4 linked regions of the Caenorhabditis elegans genome follow. The protein of the gene in region 3 interacts with the protein of the main gene of each other region in a pairwise test. Each region holds a gene or a part of one and is shown on either strand. Other genes may lie near its edges. The genes, in order: sdpn-1, nspg-10, wts-1 and hsp-43.

Region 1 (4,989 bases), on a different chromosome or scaffold from region 3:
CACAAAAATATAATGTAGTGAGACAGTTTTGACATACGGGAAATATTTGTTATTTTTACAAGAATACAATTCTAGAACACAAAATTAAGTATAGCACCCTATGGCGAAATTTGAAAAAAAGTATTTGTTTTGATTTTGAAAAACAGGGAATCAAAATTTGAATTCAAAATTCCATACAGGAATATGAAACCTTGACAGCTGATTGGTGAAAAGAGTGAGTGAAAACCGAATAAAAACAAAAACATGTATTCATCCGTTGCTTAACGTAATTGAACAACGGACTTTTTGACCAATGTCCTAGAAGATTGCCTAACAAGTTACTAATGGCATACACTTGAAAGACCAACACTATCGGAAAATATGTACAAGTTAAAGCGACCAGAATCAGATTCCATTCTAACGCAACTTATTTGATAGATATGAAGACCTAGTTTTAGTTAGAAGGGGACCAGTGTCTGAACATTTTACGGAAGAATATGGAAGGAATGTGTTGTCCTCGAAATAGGCAGCCCGATCTCTCCTTTTTCGTCAATTTCTTCGGTTACTTTCTTGAAAAAGTGCACGCTGTATTAATAAACGCAGATTTTGCGAACGGATAAAGAATTTGCATAGGTCATACATATACAGATACACACTCACTCAATCGCATACACAATGTTCTAATAGAACATCGTAAAAAGGTGTGAGAAGTGGAGAAGGTGAGGTGAGACTAACAGTGAAACAGAAGGTGGATGTGATGAAGAAACGATGAAAAAGTCGTATGGGATTCTGTTTCACTCCTTAAGCAGAAGAAAAAGAGGAAGCTTCATCTAATCCAACCGAAATGAATGATTTAAATGAAATTAACCGGTTTTCAAGGTTCCAGGGAAGATAAAAGTGCCCCGCCAGGAAGAGAGTACTGATATGAATTATTATGGGAATTCTGGTGACAGTGACATCATTATCAGGAGTTGGGCAGTTGGAACGTAGTCAATGTTGTTTGTTTTTTTTCTTGTAAATATAACATTTTTTTGTAAACAAAACAAGTTATTATTAGTGTCATTTAAAACATTGAGCTAACTTTAAATTCGAACAGTCTACATGATGACTGTGAACAATAAAAGAAAACACTGTTCAGGGTTAACGAGAATTCCTAAAAGTAAAAATTTCCAACAAAAAAAGTGGTTTTTGAAGATCTACGGATTTTGAAGCAATGTTTTATCAAAAAATGTTCCCGTTTTAAACTCAAAGCGTTTCAAACATGCATTCATGGCTTTTTTCATAAAAATTACTGGCGAAATATAGTTTTTAAAATTTTAATTTCTCAGCTTTGAGAATGATTAATTAGGACTTGCTGGTTTTTGGCTATGTACGGTGTAAGGAGGATTAAGTTCTTAGGGAAATAAAATGCAAAAAATCTACAACAGATATTTAAAAAAAAAAAGAAAAAAACTATAATTTAAAATTCTGACAACGACTAATTCTCAAAAAAATGTATAAATATGAATTTGTGAAAAAAAACGCTTTTTTCCTTAACATTTTTACAAGGAATAGGGAGTCTTAAAAATTTTCAATTTAAAAATTAAAAACTAAAATCTAATTTTTATAGATATAACACTTTTTTTAAACAAGAACGAAACACAACTTTCAAAAACAAAAATTACGTGTAGTTTCAAACTAAACAAATATATAAATTTTCGCGTACTTCTCGAAATATGATGTTAATCGCATAAAACACGACTCAAATTACTTACTTCTAATTAGCAACTTTGTAAAGCTATTCATTTCTGTGGGAAAAATCTCAAAATAGAAACACATACGACAATAGTGGATAACAGGGTTGTGATTACCTTAATTGTGAGTACTACTCCGTTCGGAAGGACTTAGAAACAAGAAATGAATAGAAGTTGATTGAGCGAAGGGATGCCAAGTGGACATGTAAAGGATATTCGCTTCTTATGTATTCTTAGTGGTTCGTTTGCCTAATTTGCAAAACACGTGCGGCTCAAACAGGCATTGCTAGTGAGTCACATATCTAACATGTTTTCAAATGAAAATGAGAAATTTCAAAATGGAACATAAACGAGTATCATAAATCAATAGGCGCCAAGTAGCGGGGCATGGTTTGAAAATGTTGAATGGTGATGGTGGAGAAATGGGTGGTGGAAATGGTTAGAGAGTACGAGACGTAGGCGAAATAGCTACACCGTGATGAGAGGTGAACTGCCAGCTGGTGCACAGATTCGATGGTTTATTATGTTAGTTTGCTTTCTTGCCTGTTGATATTATCCTAAGCAACAAGATGATCCGTTAATACTTGTTTTTTCATGATTGATATGGAATTGCATCAATTAAAATGTAGTCAGGTTGATGAACAAGTCGAAAAAAAAAGTTAAAAACATCATAGGAAGAGTCTATAGGAAGAAAAATTACAAACTAGTACTGCTGTAAACTTAAGCTTGCAAGCAAAAAATTGCAAATTCTGAGGGCTTTTAAAACATTCGTAACTTGCCTTGAGTAGCATCTTACTTGGTTGTTTTTTTTAATAGACATAGGTAATTTTCGAGGTGAGATATTTCTGACAATTACAAATGCGGCAATCGAAGTTTTGTCAATTGGCGAAAAGATTTTAAAACAGCAATGTCTGAACATTTCTGGAGATTTCAAAACGTATAAACGTATTTTGTAGTAAAATATTCGCTTTTCAAGCTTGATGTGTCTTGAATTGATAGGTATTTGACGGAACTTTAAAAATGAACAATTATGTCAAGGTTAAATGTTAAACTGTTTGAAATATGACTGAGGTTGAAAACTGCCGAAAATTCTGACAGTCAACTATGTATATGGGGAATTTCGAAAATCTTCACCCTTGCTTTTAGGTAGGTTTACTCGAAACATTTTTTTATGATAGATTTCTTGTGAAAAAAAACGTATGTGTTTGATTAAAAATTCAATATTATTCGGATACTTATTGAAAGTAAAAACACAATTAATATTTTTGATTAACAGAAACATTAACAGGCAAAATCTACTCACCATGGTAAACAGCTCATGTTTTAATAGATCGACGATTCGAGTGAAATAGACGAATGGAGCAACAGAACACGGGAAGTCAAGAGAAAATAGTTGGGAAAGAGTGAGAAACGTGATCAAAAAGTCTTTAAATGTACACTGTCAATAACTGATTAGGCGAGTGAGAAAGTGTGTGTTGGCGGGCAAACTCAAAGGTGTGGGGCAATATTGTTTGAGCGGTTGTTCAACTAACAAATATACATGGACTTTAAAAAAAAATACAGAGAATTGGAAAAATAGCTTTAAAAGGGAGGAGTTTTGAAAGTACTGATAGTTTTGAGTTTGCTGGAAACATTGTTTTAAAATAAATTAAATTTAGAAAACATAAAAATTAACGGTTCCTAAGAAAAGTCTCAAAGTTGCACAGCGTTAAACATATATTAGAAGTATTCATAGAAATTTCAAGCCACTTTCTATCTGTGAATCACTTTCAGCAAGATCAAGACTTAGGAGGATATCCAGCACAATCAAATGGTACTCTCCTTATTATTCGTAATTCACTTTTGATAGTTTCAATGAAAGGAAAGTGAAGTGAAAGTCAATGGTTTTCGGAAGCAAAGTGTTTGAAGTATCTAAGAGCTTCCAGGTGGAAACGCGAATGCCTTTTTTGTGACGGATGAGTAATTGTGAAACGCAGACTACTCACGGAAACACGATACATGGCGATGGCATTGGAAGAGGGCGAACGGTAAGAAAAAAAAGATGCAAAAAGAGGTGAAAACTAGACATTTTCAATATGCTGGATTGAATTCCTATCCTCACTTTGTTACCACTTGGCAGCTGAGATGCCAATGACTTTGCTTCCTTTTTCCTTCACCCCCCCCCCCCCCCCCCCGAGGACATAGGTAGCAGGCAATTATAGAAGACGAAAACATGGGTGATGATGATGATGACGATAATGATGGACGGATAGAGGGTGAAGGACAATAATAAGACGCAGAGATATAGGAGAGTGGAGTGAAAGAGCACGACTGTATAAATATGAGCTCAAGAGCAGTTTATGTGCTGGAGCATGACGAGCTCTTTCGAAAAGAACGCAACACCCTCTCCACGTTTTCGGCAGAAAAGAGTGACAGAAACAAAGAGAACGGTCATAAGCACGAGGTAACTGTTTTTACATGGGATCAGCGTTTGCACGTTGGTACGGATTACAGTTGGTACAACTGAAGATCAACACGTTCCGATGAACAATTGATCATCTAAGAAGGTTCAATAGAACAATACAATGCGGTGGTGTTGGGCAAGGGAATATATAATCAAGTGAGAAAACATTTAGGTGATCTGGCAAATTTGACTGCATTTGAAAAATGATACTTTGTAAAGAACTTATCCTAATATTTTTGTTTAACAACGCCGCAACATGCAAGCGTTTTCTTTGCTGAATGGAATTTTGTTTATAATACTTTCTGCACTTTTTTTTTTGAAATTCGTATCTTAAACTGGAATTGTAGTTTTTAGCCAGTTTATTTTGAAGGAAGTGCCTAATCTGCAATGTAAAGACAATTTTTTCGTGATTCATCATGAGTTGTGTCAGCATAAATATTTGTATTACAGCAGAAAAAGCAAAAAACCTGAGCAAACTCAGATTGTTTGGTTTTTATGTTGATCAACTTTCACAGAAATTTAATTAGATAATAGGTTAAAGAACGCACTCCTGAAAATCTGAAGATTCTCTTTTTCCCATTTGTACTGTACTAGTCTTTTTTTTCGAGATAACATCTGAAAGAAGGCGTCTGCTAAACGATTGTAATGGTGTGACGATTTAGGTTTTTTGGGTGAGTAGTTACCATCTTCAGACTTCCATCGACCAATTTAAAATTGAAAGTTGGTTTCAAACTGAAAAAAAAACTGGAGGAAAAACTAGATATTAGAAATAGTTCTTGAAATGTTTTCTGGCAATGAAAAATAGGGTTTTTGATTGAACTTGAACGTTTTTTT
Region 2 (4,957 bases), on a different chromosome or scaffold from region 3:
GGAGTTCCAGGGACAAAGGGAGAAGACGGAGCTGATGGAGAACCTGGGGAGGTTGATACTTCCGATGTTGGACCACCTGGGGATGATGGAGATGAGGGACAATCAGGAGAAGCCGGACAACCTGGAAATGATGGAAGAGATGGTAAACCAGGACAAGTTGGACCACCGGGACCACCAGGAAAAGATGGAGTGGATGGAGAAAATGGAAATGATGGAGATCTCGGAGAAGCTGGAATTCAAGGAAGACCGGGAGAGGAGGGGATCTGCCCAAAGTAAGTTGGTAGGCCGGCCTACATGATTACCTTGACCTGATTTCAAGGTTACCTAGGAATGCCTGCATGATTACCTAGGCCTGCAGAAATGATAAATTTACACGAAAAATTCCAGGTACTGTGCCATCGACGGAGGAGTCTTCTTTGACAGCGGATCCCGCCGCCGCAGAACTTAACTGATTTTTCTCAATTTCTCTGTCGGTCTCTCTTATTTGCTTTGAAAGGTGCTTTTTAGTGAAACGTGAAGTGCAATAAATAGTTATTGGTTTACTTTATCAGACTGATTGTGTATGTGTGATTCAACCCAAAAAAGTTCATGATAGACAGGTAAAAGGAATGAAAGAAAATTATAATTATTTCAAAAATTAAAAAATCAAAATTACTCGGAAATCCAGGAGGCCTCATTCAGGACGACGGCCTTATTGTCGACGATTTGGTAGGTAGGGACTAGAAATTTTGGAACTTGGGATAAAAAAAACTGAAAAATAAAAATAAAACTCACGAGTCTCATATTCAACCTTTCCGGTTTCAGTGTTGAATCTGGTCACAGCCTCGTTGGAAGTTGGAGCTGGAAATATTGAAGTTTTGTATGGTAGGTAGGTGTTTAATTTTGCCTACTTGGCCGCCTCGTGCTTAGGCAACTTTGTAAGTATGCCGAGGTAACTTTGTAGGTAGACCTAGGTGAAATTGTAGGCTGGTCTAGGTCACCGTGTTGATAGGCCTAGATTACCTTGTAGGTTTGTCTAGGTAAACTTAGGCAAACCTAGGTATTCTTGTAGAAAACAAGAGGCAATCATGTAGGCAGACATAGGTGACCTTGTAGGAAACCTTGTGAATAGGAATACAATTGCATGCAAGTCTCACAATCAGTAGCAATGCTGATAGGTCTAGGCCCTCTTGCAGACCATCCTAGGTCGCCTTGGGGCAGGCAAACTTTTTCAAACTTACATGCACATTGTGTAGTATGCTTGCAGTGTCTGAATTGAGCATTAGACCATTCACGAGCCGATTGGCATCCGAACCATCCGGCTTGAGCCTGAACAAAGCTTTTTTCTCTCTAGCTCAGCAATTGCTAAGACTTACTGGCATAACTGTACGGCATGGTCCCTTGGTGTAGGTGTTCTGCCACGCGTTCATGAGATTCTGAGCATACTTGCAAGCACCATTTGGGTCTTGAGCGGTGGCAGTCATGTAGGTATTCATAGCGGCAGATGTCTCTTGTTGGTAGTTGACGTAGGTGCTCTCGACGCAAGTGGTCAGGGTCTTACGCTCGTACATAGCTGAAGAATGTTCGAAATTTGAAAATCTGCTAAAAGATCAATGGCGCTTACTCCAGAATCCGGCTCCACACTTGAAATCCCAGTCGGCCAAGAATCCTTGGTAAGCGTAGGCGGTGTTAAGATCGAGTCCAGATCCGACGAGTCCGACGGTTCCGAGGCAATTGCGGATTTGAGCTTGTCCAAGGCATCCGTAAAAGGCAGCGTAACCGCTGGAATTTCGGAATTGAAAAGTTAAAGATTTTAAAAAGAAAGGCTTACTTGCAAACATTGACCCATGAGTCAATGACATATGGGGAGACGATGAGAGACTGGGTGATTCTGTCCAAGCTCGCCAAGTCCTTCCAGGCAGAGGTGGTGCTGAAAATATGTTCTGAATGACGGGGTGAAAACAATTTAAAGGTCAATTTCAGGTATCTAGTTTTAAAATCAATACTTGTAGACTGAAAATAATAGTGTTTATCTACTTCTAGAACTACTCGGATCACATTATAGGTATTGATATCTATACTAGGTGTGTTCTGTTGCTACTGACCTTATCAGAACATAATCGCATTAGATTTGCAAATTTTATATGTGGAAGTTTTACTCAATTGGAATTTGAATATTAATATCATCATAAGATTGAGAAAATTAACATTAAGATCAAATTATTATGTATATAACTATGTATATAAGAGCAAAAAATTGTTCATAGAGTTAAATGCAAAAATGTGTGAAAAATTTGAAAAAGTAAGTAGAAAAGCTTAAAATGTCGGTCTATGGTAATTTCAATTTTCTATAGAAATACAATTTTTAAATTATCAATTATACTTTAAAATGTAAATTTTGTTTTAATTGTGCGGCGGTGTTTGCATACTTTTCAAAAATATGTGTTCACCGACTCCACCCGGCAATTTTTTCGCAGTGCCAAGCTGTCCCATTACGGTTTGATCTACAAAAAAACGGGAATTTTTTGCACAAAAAATGCGACCTCAGCACGTTCTCAACCATGCGAAATAAGTTGAGAACTTTGCGTCTCTTCTCCCGCATGTTTTGTAGATCTACGTAGATCAAGGTGAAATGAGACACTCTGACACCACATGATTTTCAAAAAATTAGTCACAATTTCGTTTGTAAAACTTACTCAGTTCTCCAAAAATCTCCTAACTTGCTATTACAAGCCTGAAACTGTGCGCTCACACAGTTGTCAGTTCCGAATTGAGCAACAGCGGCTCCGTAAAGAGCTGAAAATCTCCAAAGTTATTTTTAAACCTTTGTTCGATAAAATCTACGTACCAGCAAAAACGATGGCAAACTTCATGCCGAAAAGGTGATGGTGACGCAGGGCTGGCAAATTGAAAAAGTCGTCTCGGGGATTGATAACGACGGCAAACCGTCGTCGGCGAATATTTGCCTGCTCCCTATCACTATCCAACTCATTTTATTAGGCACTCCTCCCTTCCAACCACTTTCATCTTATTAGCGAGGTGAAAACGCAATTTCAGGGTGTGTTCACACAACGTCATTTTGCAAATGTAATCAAAATTGGACTTTTATTATTTCTAGAATAAAATTTGAAAAATAATATTTTGAAAGTTAGAATAGGATGCTGAAAATTACAATGGAGATGGCGGTGAAGATTGAGAAGTTTGTAGTGGAACCTGAAAAACTATAAATATTGAAAGTGTAGTATCTTGAGTTTGCAGTTATCTGCGTACTTAAAGGCCCACGTATTTATTGAAAAAAAGGTATTGCCGCGAGGAAAAAGTGGGAATTTCTGTGATTTTATCAATAAAAAAACTTGATTAATGTTTTCTTAACTGAATAATTCTTATTAACATACAATTTTTTCGTGGCAAGACCCATTTGAATAAGAGGCATTCTTAAATGAACCTACCTGAATGCTGCCTAATAGCCTGTGCATCTGATAGCCACCTGGATAAATGACCATGAATCCGGATTCTCGCATCTTTCAATGATTGTTTATCCGAATCGCTTGCTGGATACATATCAGCACAATGAGATGTTCCTTCGATCAACCAAGCATCAACATTATTATTCGTGTTATTCCATTTGTAGCCAAGACCATTCCAAGGATCGAAGGATCCGTTTGGAAAAACGACATTGGTTCCACGATATGTGCCAGCTCCTCCGTATTTAGTACGAACTTGATCTACGAGTTTGAAAGTATTATCCAGGGTGTATTCCGGCCCAAAGAGATCAATGCATTGATCGGCGAAGAAACTGAAAATATTTTCAAAATACAGTACTACCTGGCTTTAACGTTTTGTTTGTTCTTACTCAAGTGGAACTGTAGATCCAAAGATTCCACCATTTCCTCCGTCAGTAGTCTGATAATATCCGAGCTCCGTGCAAGTCTGCCAGATCCAACTGCGAGTGCCAACTGGAATTTCAATTCGATTCTACAGTACCTTTACAATACTCGGAAACTCACTGACGTTCTCATTGGGCATTGTAGTGTCCGAATAGGCTTGAATAAAAGCTGTGTAATTATTTGGTCGGCATCCAGACGCTGATGGCTTAAACCAGGAATCATAAAGATTCATCTGGAAGTTAAAATTAGGTGCACTACTAGTAGAGGTACACCTACTACAGCAATAACTCTCTGGACCTCATCTCCAATTGTCGCGTTGTTTAGAAGATCACAAGCTGCAGGAACTCCCAATCCGGATCGTGTAGCATTGCTCTAAAATTGTGTTGTTTTTTGAAGTAATGAAGAGATGTTCATAATGAACCTTATTATCTCCGGTATATTGATTGATTATCTGAAAGTATCCATAGACATTTTGGAAAAAAAATTGCACGGCTTTTGATAGATTCGTCTCGTCGAAGCTGTCACAAAGACTGGAAAAATTGGATTTAGGACATATTGGTTAAGCTCGTGATAGTATTTTCAGAACTTCCCAAAAAGGTATGTCCTTTTTGTGAAAAAAATAATTCTGGAAGAAACTAAATCCTGCCAAAACTGACAAAAGCTAAGAATCTCAAATTTTTGAGAGATTTCAATGATATTAAAATTAAAATCATTTTTTCTCAAAAACTAGGTACATATTTTATTTATGAAACCCACTTGAATTGTTGTTTAAGAAGTGCACGGCTATCCGATCCATTATATGCTTTAGTGATAAGCTTTTGGAATGCAACCTTGATAACATCTCCACAGGAGTCACTAACAGTTCTATAAGTCTTTTCAGTATTAATAGCATATCCATAATAATCTACAAATACATGAACAGCAGAAGAAGATGATACTGCTCCTGCAGTCATTTCTGGATATGTTTCTCTAAAGAAAGCAGACAATGATCCAGGATATGATCCTCCGAATGTCACCCAAATTGGTTTGTCATCTTTGAAATAAAGTGCATTTATTTGAGTAATAAACTCTTTAATATCAGCAAGTGCCTG
Region 3 (7,567 bases):
GAAATAGTGTGGCGACATGAGAGAAAAAGAGAAAAGAAAAGAGATATTAAAAATATCTCGAATTCTGAAAACCGTATCGAGATCATCACAGAATTAGTAAAGAGGGTAATTTGGAAAATTAAAGATAAAAATAGAAGCAAAATGAGTAAAAAATGATACTAAAACATCACATTAAAATCATATATAATATAATCAATAAACAAATTCATGCTCTTTTAAATATGAGACGATGAATCTTCTTCCGACACTGACTCATTAAAAGTTCCGTTTTCAAGTAATGGCCGAAGTGACCGACGACGAGATGGTCGAAGTGATGGGCAACCAACAGAATCCGTATCAAAGAAATGACGATAAGTGAATTCATAGAAGGCTGGATTATGAAGACCTCGCACATTCGGCTTGTCAGCACGGTCATTGTCCTGGAAATTTGGAATTAGAAGTGTGATAGGTTTTGAAAGAAAACTTTTCAAGATTCCAAATTTAAGTTAAAAATTTGAGTAGTGAAACTCAATTATGTTTTTATTGGAGCTGCTATGTATAATAGTTTCAGAAACTCCACAATTAATTTACTTTAATTCAAATAAAAATTCTGTATTTCAAACTCAAATATTCATAATTTTGATGCTATCTTTTTTATGTCTACATACATAAAATTATATCTAACTTTTTTAGACACTCTAAACAAAGTTTAAAAGGAAAAACTCACTTGAAACGTTTCAAAATTAGAAGTGTCTTCATCGTGAGTGACCCGAGGAATATAAATATAATCAGCTCTCAGTTTTCTCAAGTTAACCCAGTCAATTCCCCTGAACCATGGATGATTTTTGACTTGTGCCGTTCGTTCGGCAACATCCTTCCCGTGAGATCCCAATCTTGACGACGCGTCACAAATTAGTTGCTGAAAAAGTTTTGGTCTTCACAACGTCTATTTAAACAAAAAAACTTACTTGAATCATCATAAGGCACTCTTTTGATAGATTTCCACAATATGTAAAATCAAGGAAGTTTCTCCAATTCTTAATTCGATGTTGTGTTCCACCAGGTGTATCATCATGAAATGGCACTCTTCCAAATACCATCTCATACAAAATCACTCCAGTCGACCACCAATCACAACTCTGATTGTGCCCGGTTTTGGCAATTACTTCGGGTGCCATGTAATTTCCTGTTCCAACAAGAGAATGGGCGGTTATCCGGCGGGTTTGTTGTCGAACATTTAGAACTTTAACGCTTTTATCAATAGCTGCAACTTCAGGAGGAAGCGAGAATGAATCGACACGATGATGGTCGTTTTCAGGTCCATAGTATCTAGAAAATATTGGATGGTTTCATGTGTGACTTAAATATTTTTTGCACAGATGTTGAGCACACCAACTACAATTAATCATTTGCGTCGCGCCTAGGCTCTATTCCATTAGACACCCTCTCTTTCTCGTGACAAATAAACAATACATAATCTTACCTTCTGTCATGAGTCCACCTCAAACCAGTGCACAATCCAAAATCAGTCAACTTAATATGTCCATGTTGATCAATTAGAATATTATCCGGTTTCAAATCTCTATGAATAAATCCAACATTATGAACATATTCAATTGCACATGCCAGTTCAGCAATGTAGAATCTAGCGAGATCTTCTTCAAATATTCCTTTTTGAATCAATAAAGTCATCATATCTCCTCCGGGAACATATTCCATTATGAAGTATAGACAAGCATCATCTTGAAATGAGAAGAAAAGACGAACAATCCAAGGAGAATCAGCTTCTGCCAGAATATCGCGTTCGGCTTTCACATGGGCGGCCTGAAAGAAAATGGTGTTTTTAGTCAAAAAGTTTTGAAATTATTTTTCGATCATATCGCTTTACAGTCACATTTTAAAAACTACTAGACTCACAATATATCTGATATATTTTCCTACTAGTAGCAAATATAGAATCAATTAAATTAAAAAAAAAAAACCTAGAGTATCAAAAATGTTAGACTTTGCAGTTTTCTTACTTTCTATTCAAGGTTTTATTTCAAACGTAGGACACCAATATTTTCAAATTTTTAAACCAAGATCCTAAACAAATAACAAATCCTACCTGTTGTTTCATTATGACATCCGCTTTTTCCAAACTTTTCATTGCATAAACCTTCCGAGTATCATTTTTTCGAACCAATGAAACTTTTCCAAATGCTCCAACACCAATATGTGAGATGACAGTGAAATGGCTTTTACTCATCTTTTGTCTTCTTAATCTCGTATATTTTGACTCTTTTTGTTGAAGTAATCCCAGCATTTTATTCCTCATAATATCCGGTAATTGAGCTGAAACCATCTCCTTTTCCAACTGTTTCATTCGTTTTTCTCGTTCTTTATATTGCTGTAGAAGTCGTTCAACATGTTGTTCCATATAAAATCGAAGCATATTTGGTTTACATGGTTGAACTCTTCGTGTATTCTTGATGTATGGTTCCAAAAGTGTTCGATCAATTGGGGAGCTGACTCGTTTCGGAGGTGGCTCACTGGGTTGATTGTATTGAGGAGGAGGAGGTTGAGCACGTGATTTCATTGTGATTTCGAGATTTCTTGGTTTGAAAAGGATCGGCCGGAAATCTTCATGATTTGCATCGGAAGTGGATGGAATCAGGCGAGGGTCGGGACGCAGCTGAAATCATTTTATTTTTAGGGTTTATCCCCGAACTTTATAACAATTATTGTTCTATTCATAAAATTCAACTGGGCTCTCGAAACCGATTCTAAAGTAGTTTTGCAAATTTTTGCTGATTATGGGTGTCTGCGAAGACAAAACTTTTAGTCTCTTATATTTTATGAGCTCTGTCAAAAAAATGACTCTAGAAATATCAGTTAAATATTTCAGAAGGTAGGAGTTGAATTTTTCTCAAATTTACCTCATCTTTATAGTTGACAAAATTCTTCCTATCGACATCAGCTGTATACCGTGGACCAATAATGAATGATTTGCTTGGAAGAGGACTATCACCAACATTTACTTTTGTCTGAAATTAAAAATGAATTTTAATATCATTTGAGGTCATAAAATACCGTATGAGGAGAAGCAACATTGATACTAACAACACTACTAGCTGTTTTTTTGTCCATTGATGTATGATAAAGTCTCTGGATATTATCTGCTTTTCGTTCTTCACTCCTGAAAAGTTAAAGCAAAAGATTTATAGAATCCTTCTGATATCGTTTAGAAAACTTACATTGTCTCGATGGAAATCGTAGATTTTGCTGGAGGAGGCGGTGGGGGTGCCATATTCTTGTTGTGATTGAGCATTGTTGGATTCGGTGGTGGCGCTTTTACAACAGGATGAACTTTCATATGCAGGTGAGTACGGTAGTTGTCTGTTGCAACTGGAGTCATTCTAGTGTTCACCGGAGATGAATCGTAGGCTGGTGGAGGTGGTCGAGACTGAAAATTTTCATTTATTAAAGTGTCAGGTCTGCCTACTAGGGGTGTTTGTGTGTACTTTATTGGACTCTTTAATTTATTTTACAAAAAAAATTTCAGAAGTTATGAACAGGTCACAAGAAGGTCCCCCTATTGCTTGAACTAGGAGTATTTTTCAAAGAAAGTTTTGGTCCATTTTCTTTTCAGCTTAAACTTTCAAACTTTGTCAATTTGGAAGTATATTTTGTTACTAATTTTAGTTGTTCACACGTGTCTCGCCGTTGATTAAAGTGCCTTTTCAGTTTACGGGTGCACTAAATATTATCAAATATGTGACCGAAAATGTAGCCAAATCAACAGAAAAACATGGAACGAACGACCAAAATATGAAAAGTGATAATCGCATTGACAATTTGGACTTTTTTCAAAACTGAACCACCGCAAACCAATTTTTTTAAAACAAAATTTTAAGTGGGACTTCTCAGAAAAAGTACTTTCCGATTCTTTAGTATTATATTTTTTCGAGAACAACTTACATATCCTGGTGAGTATTGTGGTGCATTGTTATTCATATGATATGCAGGAGTTGGCATATCATATCGATATCCAGCAGGATGTATCCTAATCGACTCTTCAGTTGTTGTAGAAGGTGTTGATGATATAGTTGTTGATGGATTTCCATTTCGAATCATCTCTTTTCCACTTCGAAATACTGTCTCATTGGCACCAGTATCCATCATTAAATGTCTTTGTGGCATTGGTGTTATCCGCATCTTGTGACCACCACCTTCTGTCTGAAAATATGATTTTTTCACTTTTGAACCACCACCCTTCACCACTTTTGAAGATCATAAATCGATTCATAGTTGACAATTTTCATAAAATCCCAAAGTTGAGCTGAGCCACCTATTTCATAATTTTTTATTCAATAGAATTTCTAGCTAGTTTGCTACAATTCCATTCTTTTTTTTTTCGAAGAAAAATATGACGCTTTCGGCCGGTCTATGTATAAATTTCAAAAAAGTTATGTTTTTTTTGGGCATACGAACTGACCTAGACGGAAAATTTGACGGACAATTTTCCCAGCCAATCGAATTTTATTTTTTACTCTCAAAATGTTTTTCCATTCGATTTCCAGGACCATTTTTGATTAAAAAAAAAGAAATGTGACTCACTCTAAAAGAATTCGAATTTGATACAGCAGCGCTCGAGACTGTCGTCGTCGTCGCTGCTGCATTTGAAGAAGAAGACGAAAAATTCATCACTTCCGCATTGTCATTGGTGATGTCAGAATGGCTGACGGAAGAACTTGACGGTGTTGCAAGTGATCCAAGAGCCACGTGACTTGATAATAAACCGGCTTCATGTTCGTAAGCTTTCAGCGATTCGCGAATTTCGTCGAGTTTTGCACGATGACGCCCCACGCGGATTTCCTGGAAAAACAATTGGTTTAATTAGTTATGCCAAATTATGGTACCACTGCCCAGATGCGAATTTTTTAGAATTTTTGTAAAAAAAGGATTTCTTTAAAGCAAAAAACTTTGCGTTTCTATGGAAGTTTTCAATGTTTCAACACTGAAATTGTACATTTTTCTGAGCAATTTATATATTTTTCATATGAAAAATACTGATTCATTGATTACGAAACTATTAAAAGGTGATGCTTCTAAATGGAATTTTAGGTGATTTCATTTTCTTATCAAAACCGCCATTCCAAGTGATAACGTCTGCCATGAAAGCCCCGCATTGTCTCGGAACGCCAAAGTGTTGAATAAGAAAGGGTGAAGTAATTTTGAGGATTTTTTTTTAAATTTTAATGAGTTCTACGAATCTTGAACAGATTTTGAAATTCAAATCAGGAAAAAAAAACATGGAACTGCAAAAAAAAATGATTTGCGATTATAGATGTATTTACAAACAATAGCAAAGCCAATATAATTTAAAAGAAGACCTTTTGAATAGGACCCCACAAAAAATTTAGCAACAGAAGAGCATTTTGAACTAGAAAAAATTGGTCCGAAAATGCTAGAGGTAATTTTTAAGTTAAATAATTTTTTAAACGGAAATCTGAAAGCATTTTGATCGAGTTGATTAGGGGGAGAACATTTTTAAAAATTTTATTAAAACTCCTAGAATTTTCAATTGCTCTTAATCACTGAAAAACAACATGTCTGCAAAAAATAGCTTTTGGAGCAAGTCTACAGCTCTCGAAAGTTGTGAAAAGAGCACTAAAAAGTTTCAGATCGTGACACTTTGCCGCTTAAAATTTACAACGATCTAGTTTAAAGGTCCTCTTTCAAATGACACATGGTTCAGCTGAAAATCTAGGGAGTGATCAAGCCAAACAGATCAAGATCTGAATCAATAACCCAATCACTTTTCCAAACCAAAACCTACTGAATTGTGATGGGCATCTATCGCTGAATTAGTAGAGCCAAATGGGATCGGAGCAACTCCACGTTGATGTCTGATATCAGAAGATGCACCATTTGGAGTAGTACCAGGGGCAGCAGGTCGCATTCCAGGGGAATACAATGCAAAGGAGGGCCTCCTGCCGAACACTGACAAACACACACACGGAGAAGGCGATGGGAATGGATTGAAGTAGAAGAAGAAGAAGGTGAAGAGATAGAATGAAATGATGAGAGAGACAGTGATACAAAACTTTCTGTGTCTCTTATCGTTATGTGGTCTCTTTGCTTCCCGCCGCTCTCTCTCTGACTCCCGCAGGAAGAGGAGAAAAGTCTTTACTCTCTTTTGCAGGACATCTCTCTTTGTCTTATTCTCTCGTGTTGTCTCTTCCAACATTCCTCATCCCTCGTCACTCTAACATCTCTCCCCGACTCTCCAACCTTCTAGTGCTCATTTTCTGCCGTTTAGTTTCCAACACATTTAGGACGCCTGTGTCTCGGAACCTCTCGCCGTATCATCAGCGGCCATCATCGCCCGTCGAAAAGACATACTTGCCGGTATCCCCCCGTCATGTCATCCAGCAGAAAGCCTCTCATACGGTAAGTTTTTAGAAGCTTTTTATAAAACTCTGTGTTTGAACAAATATTTTTAAAGATGTTTTCCTGTTTAAAATTTGAATTGAAAGCCGATTTTGAGAACAACTTCGAAGTGTTGAAAATTTTCCGGATTCAAAAATGTGCACAATTTGTAAAATTCACCAGCTTTACTGAATTTAAAACAAATTTTTAACATCTGTAGAAAAGGGGTGCTCCTTGCCCTCGCCGGTAGTGGAGAGGCACTCCAGGCGCCCCTGTTACTGTCGACTGTGCCTGCGTACTTTTGAGAATATATATTACCTTCAACATCTATATTTTAAATACTGAATATTGGAATTTTCCGACAAAAAAATTACTCTGGCTTAAATTCTCAACCAAGTTTTCAAATTGTTTCTGTAATTTTGCATAAGACCCAGTAAGTGCTATAGTACATCATCAGCTTTTGTAATTGAATTAGAAATACGTACTCAAGTGATTTTAGGTTAAAACTGGAAATTGGAGTTGTAATTTTTTCACTGGAATGATAACTCTATATATTACTACTGAAAGAGTCACAACTCTGTAGTTTTTCTTATTTAAAATGCAGTTTTGAAAAAATAACAGTAGACATAAGCTTGATACTCGAATTTTCTTGTATTGACTCAGTTTTCTGTGTTTTTATGAATTTTGATGATTTTTTAAATCAAACAACTATGCATTTCCTCTAATTCTACTACAAATCCCCTTTAATCTCCGTTTTTTTGCATTCGTCAGCCTATCAAAAATCGATGTCTCTTTCCTTTTTGTATCTATGACATCCACGCAGTCTTCCGTTTGCATAAAAACGAAACGGTGCGCCGCAGATGTCGCGTGGCTTTTCCCTTTTTTGTAACCATTAAACAAACATATAGATACATAGAAGGACAACGTTTAAATAAATATTCAATTTTTTTTCTTTCAGGAGCAGTTCACACTCGGATCGTCCTACTACAATGAGGAATTGGCCCCTTTTTGTATTTCTTATTTGCCTGGTAATATAATTAACAAGAAGTCAATGAAATTATACACTTTTTGCAGGTATTATTCTTTTACGCATTCTACGTATATCAAGCTCAAGGAGAAGTTTTATCCCAGACAAACGAAGAAGTTCGACAACTATCCGCCCAGCTGAGTCTCA
Region 4 (4,507 bases), on a different chromosome or scaffold from region 3:
GTTTTGGAGCTCTTGGAGGATATGATGTAGGGTTTCTCACGATATTGTCGAAACGTTCATTATGCTACAAATAAAAATTGTTTCTGGTACTTTGAATAACTGGAGTTTTAGAATTTTCGTCAAAATTTAATTTTTGCAATCAATTATCAAAAAGTTATTATTCTAAATTGCATTTTAAATATATATATATATATATATATATATATATCTGAAAATTATCGTTGTTTTTAATTCGATTTTAATAATAACTTCTTTAGTTTTTAAGACTAAACTCACATCATCAATAAAACGCCGGTAGATGATTTCTTTTTTGGTGACCAGCGGTGGATAACGGGACATGATCGATAGAAAAGAAGCGTCGAATGGATTGTATTATCAAAGTGAGAAATGATTGTATTTTGTTGTTTTTTTTTGTGGCTCCATCATTTTTCTTTTCATCTTTTCTATATCATCATATTTTTCTCACCTCAAGTTCTAGATTTGAAACCAACAAAATCGTACTAAAAATTAGTAAACAAAAAGCATAAATGTTTATGTATAATAGTAGGTGTACATTTGAAAGTGGAAAAGCTGTGAATAGAGTATATGGAAGCATCAGAAAATATATTGTTTTGTTTTAAAAGCTGTAGGCAGAATTTTGTGAAGTTTTGAAGGAGAACGGGTATGAGTAAAAGCATAAGGTTTTTGGTCCAATTAATATGTCTTGCGGAGAATTTGAATTGATCGGTACTCGCGTTGAGTTGAGTTTGGTGAGTCCGAGTTTCCATTACGAAGAATTCCAGTTGTAGTGCTCACTGGTGACTCGACCCGGTATCCTGAAAAATTTTACCACTTCAGTTGATTGAAGAACCCTCAATGTATAGCGAAAACTCACCTCCATTGCGACTTTCTGAGCGATGAGACTGAGCGCGAGAGCTTGAACGCTCCTCGTGAAGATTTGCATTTCCAGCAGTATTATATGACCCTAAAATTCCAATTTTAAAACTTTCGAATTTTCAAAATCCAAGTTTTCAACAAATAATGTGTCATTAACGATCATTTTTGACCAAAGGCGCAACATGTTAATGTTGTAGTTAATTTGTGATTGATGAGAAAATCCAAAGTATTGTCAGTAAACTGTTGGAAGTTTACTCTAATTGTGATGAGGGAAGTGGGAAGTAATTCGTGTGAAATGTGTGTAAATTAACTAAAAAAGAGAAACGCGATGTGCGAAATTGCAAAAATGACCTCGCTCAAAATTGTTTCGAATGGTTTCGAACGCTTTTCGACCCGGCGACCGCTGTTCCGGTGTTACTGTCCGCTCTGAAGGTAATTATGGGATCTAGATAGAAAAGAGAAATAGAAAGAAAAATGAAATGTGGAAAGAGAACACGACAGAAAGCAGTGTTTTGGAAAGTTGGAAAATTTGAATTAACTATGTATTTTCAAAAACTTACCACTTGTTGTGATACGAGGAGTGACTGGGCTATATGTTCGGTTGTCATTTCTAGTGATGTTAACATCATTTGGGGAGAGACGATTGCGAGAGTCGCTGCGGTGGTAGCTGAAAATTTTTATTTTCAGATACTCACTATCATTATCTGTAGGATTACCTGTAAGAATGAGAAGAATACACGTCTCTCGATCCTGGACTATCATTCAATCGCGATCCACTTCTGCTAGACACGCTCCTCCCGTCGTGCTCAGTCTGGACATGAATTGGCGAGTTTGGTCCTCGTTGCGAACGGAGTGTTCCATTTTCAAATCTTGGTGAATGGTGCCCGGCTCCTTCGATTGGGATCATACGCTCGCGACCTTGCAATGCCATGTTGTTGAATTTTCCAGCCTCAACTTGAAGACGTCCTTTGGCATCAATACTACTTTGAATCGAGTTGAAGTCTACGTCTCTTGGAAGTTGGTACTTTCTGACAAAGTACATTTTGGTGAAGTTATCTTTATCACGAATATCCTCATGTCTTCCCTCAATCATCAGAGTATCATCAAGAGTTTTCACTTGAATTTCTTCAGGACGGAATTGATAGCAATCCATGTCAACGGCAAATCTACGATCATCATTAACCACATTGGAGTTTACGTCAATTCCCTCCTTGAAGATTGGCTCAGCCCATCTTGGGTAGAGATTCATCCAGTATGGATCACTCCTCCAGTTGCGATCCATGCGATCAAGTTGACTGGAAAACTGCAAAAAAGTTTCGATGTGTTTCTGTTCATGCGATTTGAATTATTACTCTTGGCATGACGGCGTCCATACGGGGCCAATCGGTTGGCCAATCCTTCCACCAACTGTCGACGTCACGGGAGAACTGAAATGCAAAAAAAAAAATGATTCACAAAATATTCTGATTCATCGATGGAGAAATTGGCTGCCGATTTCCTCTCTTTTCACTTTTTTTTCAAATGATAAAAAAAACAAAATGTTTGTTCAGATTGAAAAGGAGAGAGCATTCGAATTTGAGGAAAATTTAGGGGAAACTGGTGAAAACTGCCAAATTTCAGTTGGCATGGAACAAATAAACCAAGAAGGGGAAAGCAGTGAGATTTGACTCTCTTAATGGTGTATATGTACGTAAATTCGAGTAGGGCTGTCAAGTAGACCAACGACGACGACCGGATTTGAACAGTAAAACGCCTGGCAAAATATAATAGTAGCCAGAGTGAAGAGCGTGTAGAGGTAGGTCGCGGATGAATAGCCCCCTATGCCTATTTCTAACAATTGACTATCGGAAACTAATAAGCCGCCCCCAATGAATTGGATACCCGGTGGAAAAAGTCCCTTGGTTTTGGCCAATCAAGAGGCCAATCACGGAAATCGTCGAGCCACAGGTCGTTCTCTTTCCAGAGTTTGTCACGAGTGAAATCGGCATGACGGGTTGCAAGAGTCATTTTTTGAACTGGGGGTGTGGTACTTCTGTAAAATAATAATTGTTATTCCGGTTATGGGGAACGGCAGCAATGAAACGATGAAGTACAAAAACACACAGTTTAACATAAAACCTAATAACTATTAACCTTTGTTCCAAAACACAATGTCACACAATGTGCGCTATCATAGTTTTAATTTTTAATGGAAGTTAAGAATCGGTGAACAAAAAGTGAAAACCTCTAAAAGCCGGAACACAAATCTTGCAAGCTTTTATAAGTTCTGTCTTGCATGGAAAGGTTGGAGAGTTTTGGGCGTGGTTTTAACCGCTCTCACCTTCGTCTCGAATCTTCGCCGACCCCACCGACGACTTTTTTGGTAAATACCACGTGAACAGAGTTAGAATGCGAAAAGAGGGGCGCAATCAAAAGGAGGTCTGCCAATGTTGACTGTGTTTCTCTGTCAACACTGTTATTTTGGGGGCACCGGAGGTCGGAATGGAAATCATCAAAGACGGTTGGCAAAAAAGTTCACCGGAAGGGGTCACTTAAGTTTGAAAACGGAAAATTGAAAATTTCAGATAAAAACACTTTTTCTCAAAAAAATATGACAGCTGAGTCGTGTGCTCTGAATATTCGATTGACATTGGCGTTGTTATATACCCATTTTGAAAAGAGAAGGGCGTTGGCCGCCGGTCAAAGTTACCCTATTTCAGATGAGTCAGAACCAATTGACAGAGAGAGGCATAGGCAGTTCCATTTTGTCGCTCCCGCCTTTTCTTCACGTTGGACGATGATGATCAATGTGATATTTAATCAGTGGAGGAACGACGACAAGAAAAAAGGGATAGGGTGATCACATGGATTGGAATACGCCCTTTCTGGACTATTCCAACAGTTTTGCAATTATTTCGAAAATATTTCGAAACCGGCTTTTTATGAACCATTTTTGGTCTCATTTGTCTAATAGAACAACGCCTACAGAAGTTTTTTTGGAACGCTCTGAACAGTCATTCTATGTGTTGTCATAAACGATATTGAAATACATTACATTTTTTCGCATTAGAGGAATTTTTGAAACTGGTTGACTGCGTTTACTGCAAAAAAATTGGTTGAGATTGAATATCCATTCATAGTTTGTTCTGTGAGAAACGAAAATTGACTTTTTCCTATTTTTCAATCATTCTGCCTATAATTCTTTTTGAAGCACCATAAATCATTTCCGCACTGCACTCTAAAAAATTCTGAATAATTTTTCTGTCACTCAGCCCACGCTTGATTTTGGGAGAAAAAACGGGGAAAAAGCAATTTTAATCCATTCGACGCATTTTCCGTGGTTTTTGCTAAACCAATACTGTAATTGAAACCTAAATTTGTCCAAAACTGGGTGGTGACGGCGGTTGTGTGAGTTCAGTTTGCTTTTCAGAGTAGTGTTTGCCTGTGCGTGAGTAAAATACACAGTTATGAAGGAAATAGTAAGGGTGAAAAATTCAAATACTGTTGGTTATGACTAATTTTGGGTAAAAAATGGTTTGAGGTTTTTTCGCGGAAAGCTTAGGAATTTCATGATTTTAAAAATGATTTTGAGAATTGCTAGTTCCAACCAATTTTTAATTTCCACAAATTTAAATGTTATTAATAATTTATG

The links.
Region 1: the proteins of wts-1 (region 3) and sdpn-1 interact in a two-hybrid assay, tested with the Caenorhabditis elegans proteins (one large-scale study listed by BioGRID).
Region 2: the proteins of wts-1 (region 3) and nspg-10 interact in a two-hybrid assay, tested with the Caenorhabditis elegans proteins (one large-scale study listed by BioGRID).
Region 4: the proteins of wts-1 (region 3) and hsp-43 interact in a two-hybrid assay, tested with the Caenorhabditis elegans proteins (one large-scale study listed by BioGRID).

What each region holds. Positions count from the first base shown.
Region 1 is NC_003284.9:7,995,064-8,000,052, forward strand, and holds the start of sdpn-1 (SH3 domain-containing protein), read right to left. Parts: upstream 3,033-4,989; coding exon 3,016-3,032; intron 1-3,015.
Region 2 is NC_003282.8:4,603,785-4,608,741, reverse strand, and holds nspg-10 (uncharacterized protein), read right to left. Parts: upstream 2,957-4,957; 5' UTR 2,853-2,956; coding exon 2,828-2,852; intron 2,776-2,827; coding exon 2,676-2,775; intron 1,910-2,675; coding exon 1,811-1,909; intron 1,762-1,810; coding exon 1,604-1,761; intron 1,553-1,603; coding exon 1,356-1,552; intron 1,309-1,355; coding exon 1,221-1,308; intron 841-1,220; coding exon 775-840; intron 720-774; coding exon 652-719; 3' UTR 525-651; downstream 1-524. Other genes in the region: col-110 (Nematode cuticle collagen N-terminal domain-containing protein), read left to right, coding at 1-272, 388-448; F19C7.4 (Serine protease K12H4.7), read right to left, coding at 3,128-3,192, 3,429-3,775, 3,833-3,935, 3,987-4,098, 4,143-4,238, 4,288-4,396, 4,623-4,957.
Region 3 is NC_003279.8:10,291,924-10,299,490, forward strand, and holds the start of wts-1 (Serine/threonine-protein kinase WARTS homolog), read right to left. Parts: upstream 6,005-7,567; 5' UTR 5,924-6,004; coding exon 5,801-5,923; intron 4,837-5,800; coding exon 4,579-4,836; intron 4,198-4,578; coding exon 3,940-4,197; intron 3,425-3,939; coding exon 3,216-3,424; intron 3,158-3,215; coding exon 3,052-3,157; intron 3,006-3,051; coding exon 2,898-3,005; intron 2,654-2,897; coding exon 2,087-2,653; intron 1,804-2,086; coding exon 1,463-1,803; intron 1,309-1,462; coding exon 948-1,308; intron 899-947; coding exon 707-898; intron 420-706; coding exon 216-419; 3' UTR 156-215; coding exon of another isoform or gene 1-155. Other genes in the region: T20F10.2 (Si:ch211-1a19.3), read left to right, coding at 6,386-6,414, 7,352-7,421, 7,468-7,567. UniProt on the Caenorhabditis elegans protein: Phosphorylates yap-1 which may negatively regulate yap-1 nuclear localization. Plays an essential role in larval development.
Region 4 is NC_003284.9:6,232,634-6,237,140, forward strand, and holds hsp-43 (SHSP domain-containing protein), read right to left. Parts: upstream 2,911-4,507; 5' UTR 2,884-2,910; coding exon 2,758-2,883; intron 2,304-2,757; coding exon 2,229-2,303; intron 2,180-2,228; coding exon 1,593-2,179; intron 1,544-1,592; coding exon 1,437-1,543; intron 1,303-1,436; coding exon 1,228-1,302; intron 965-1,227; coding exon 875-964; intron 816-874; coding exon 694-815; 3' UTR 518-693; downstream 1-517. Other genes in the region: C14F11.4 (AIP3 domain-containing protein), read right to left, coding at 1-64, 277-339.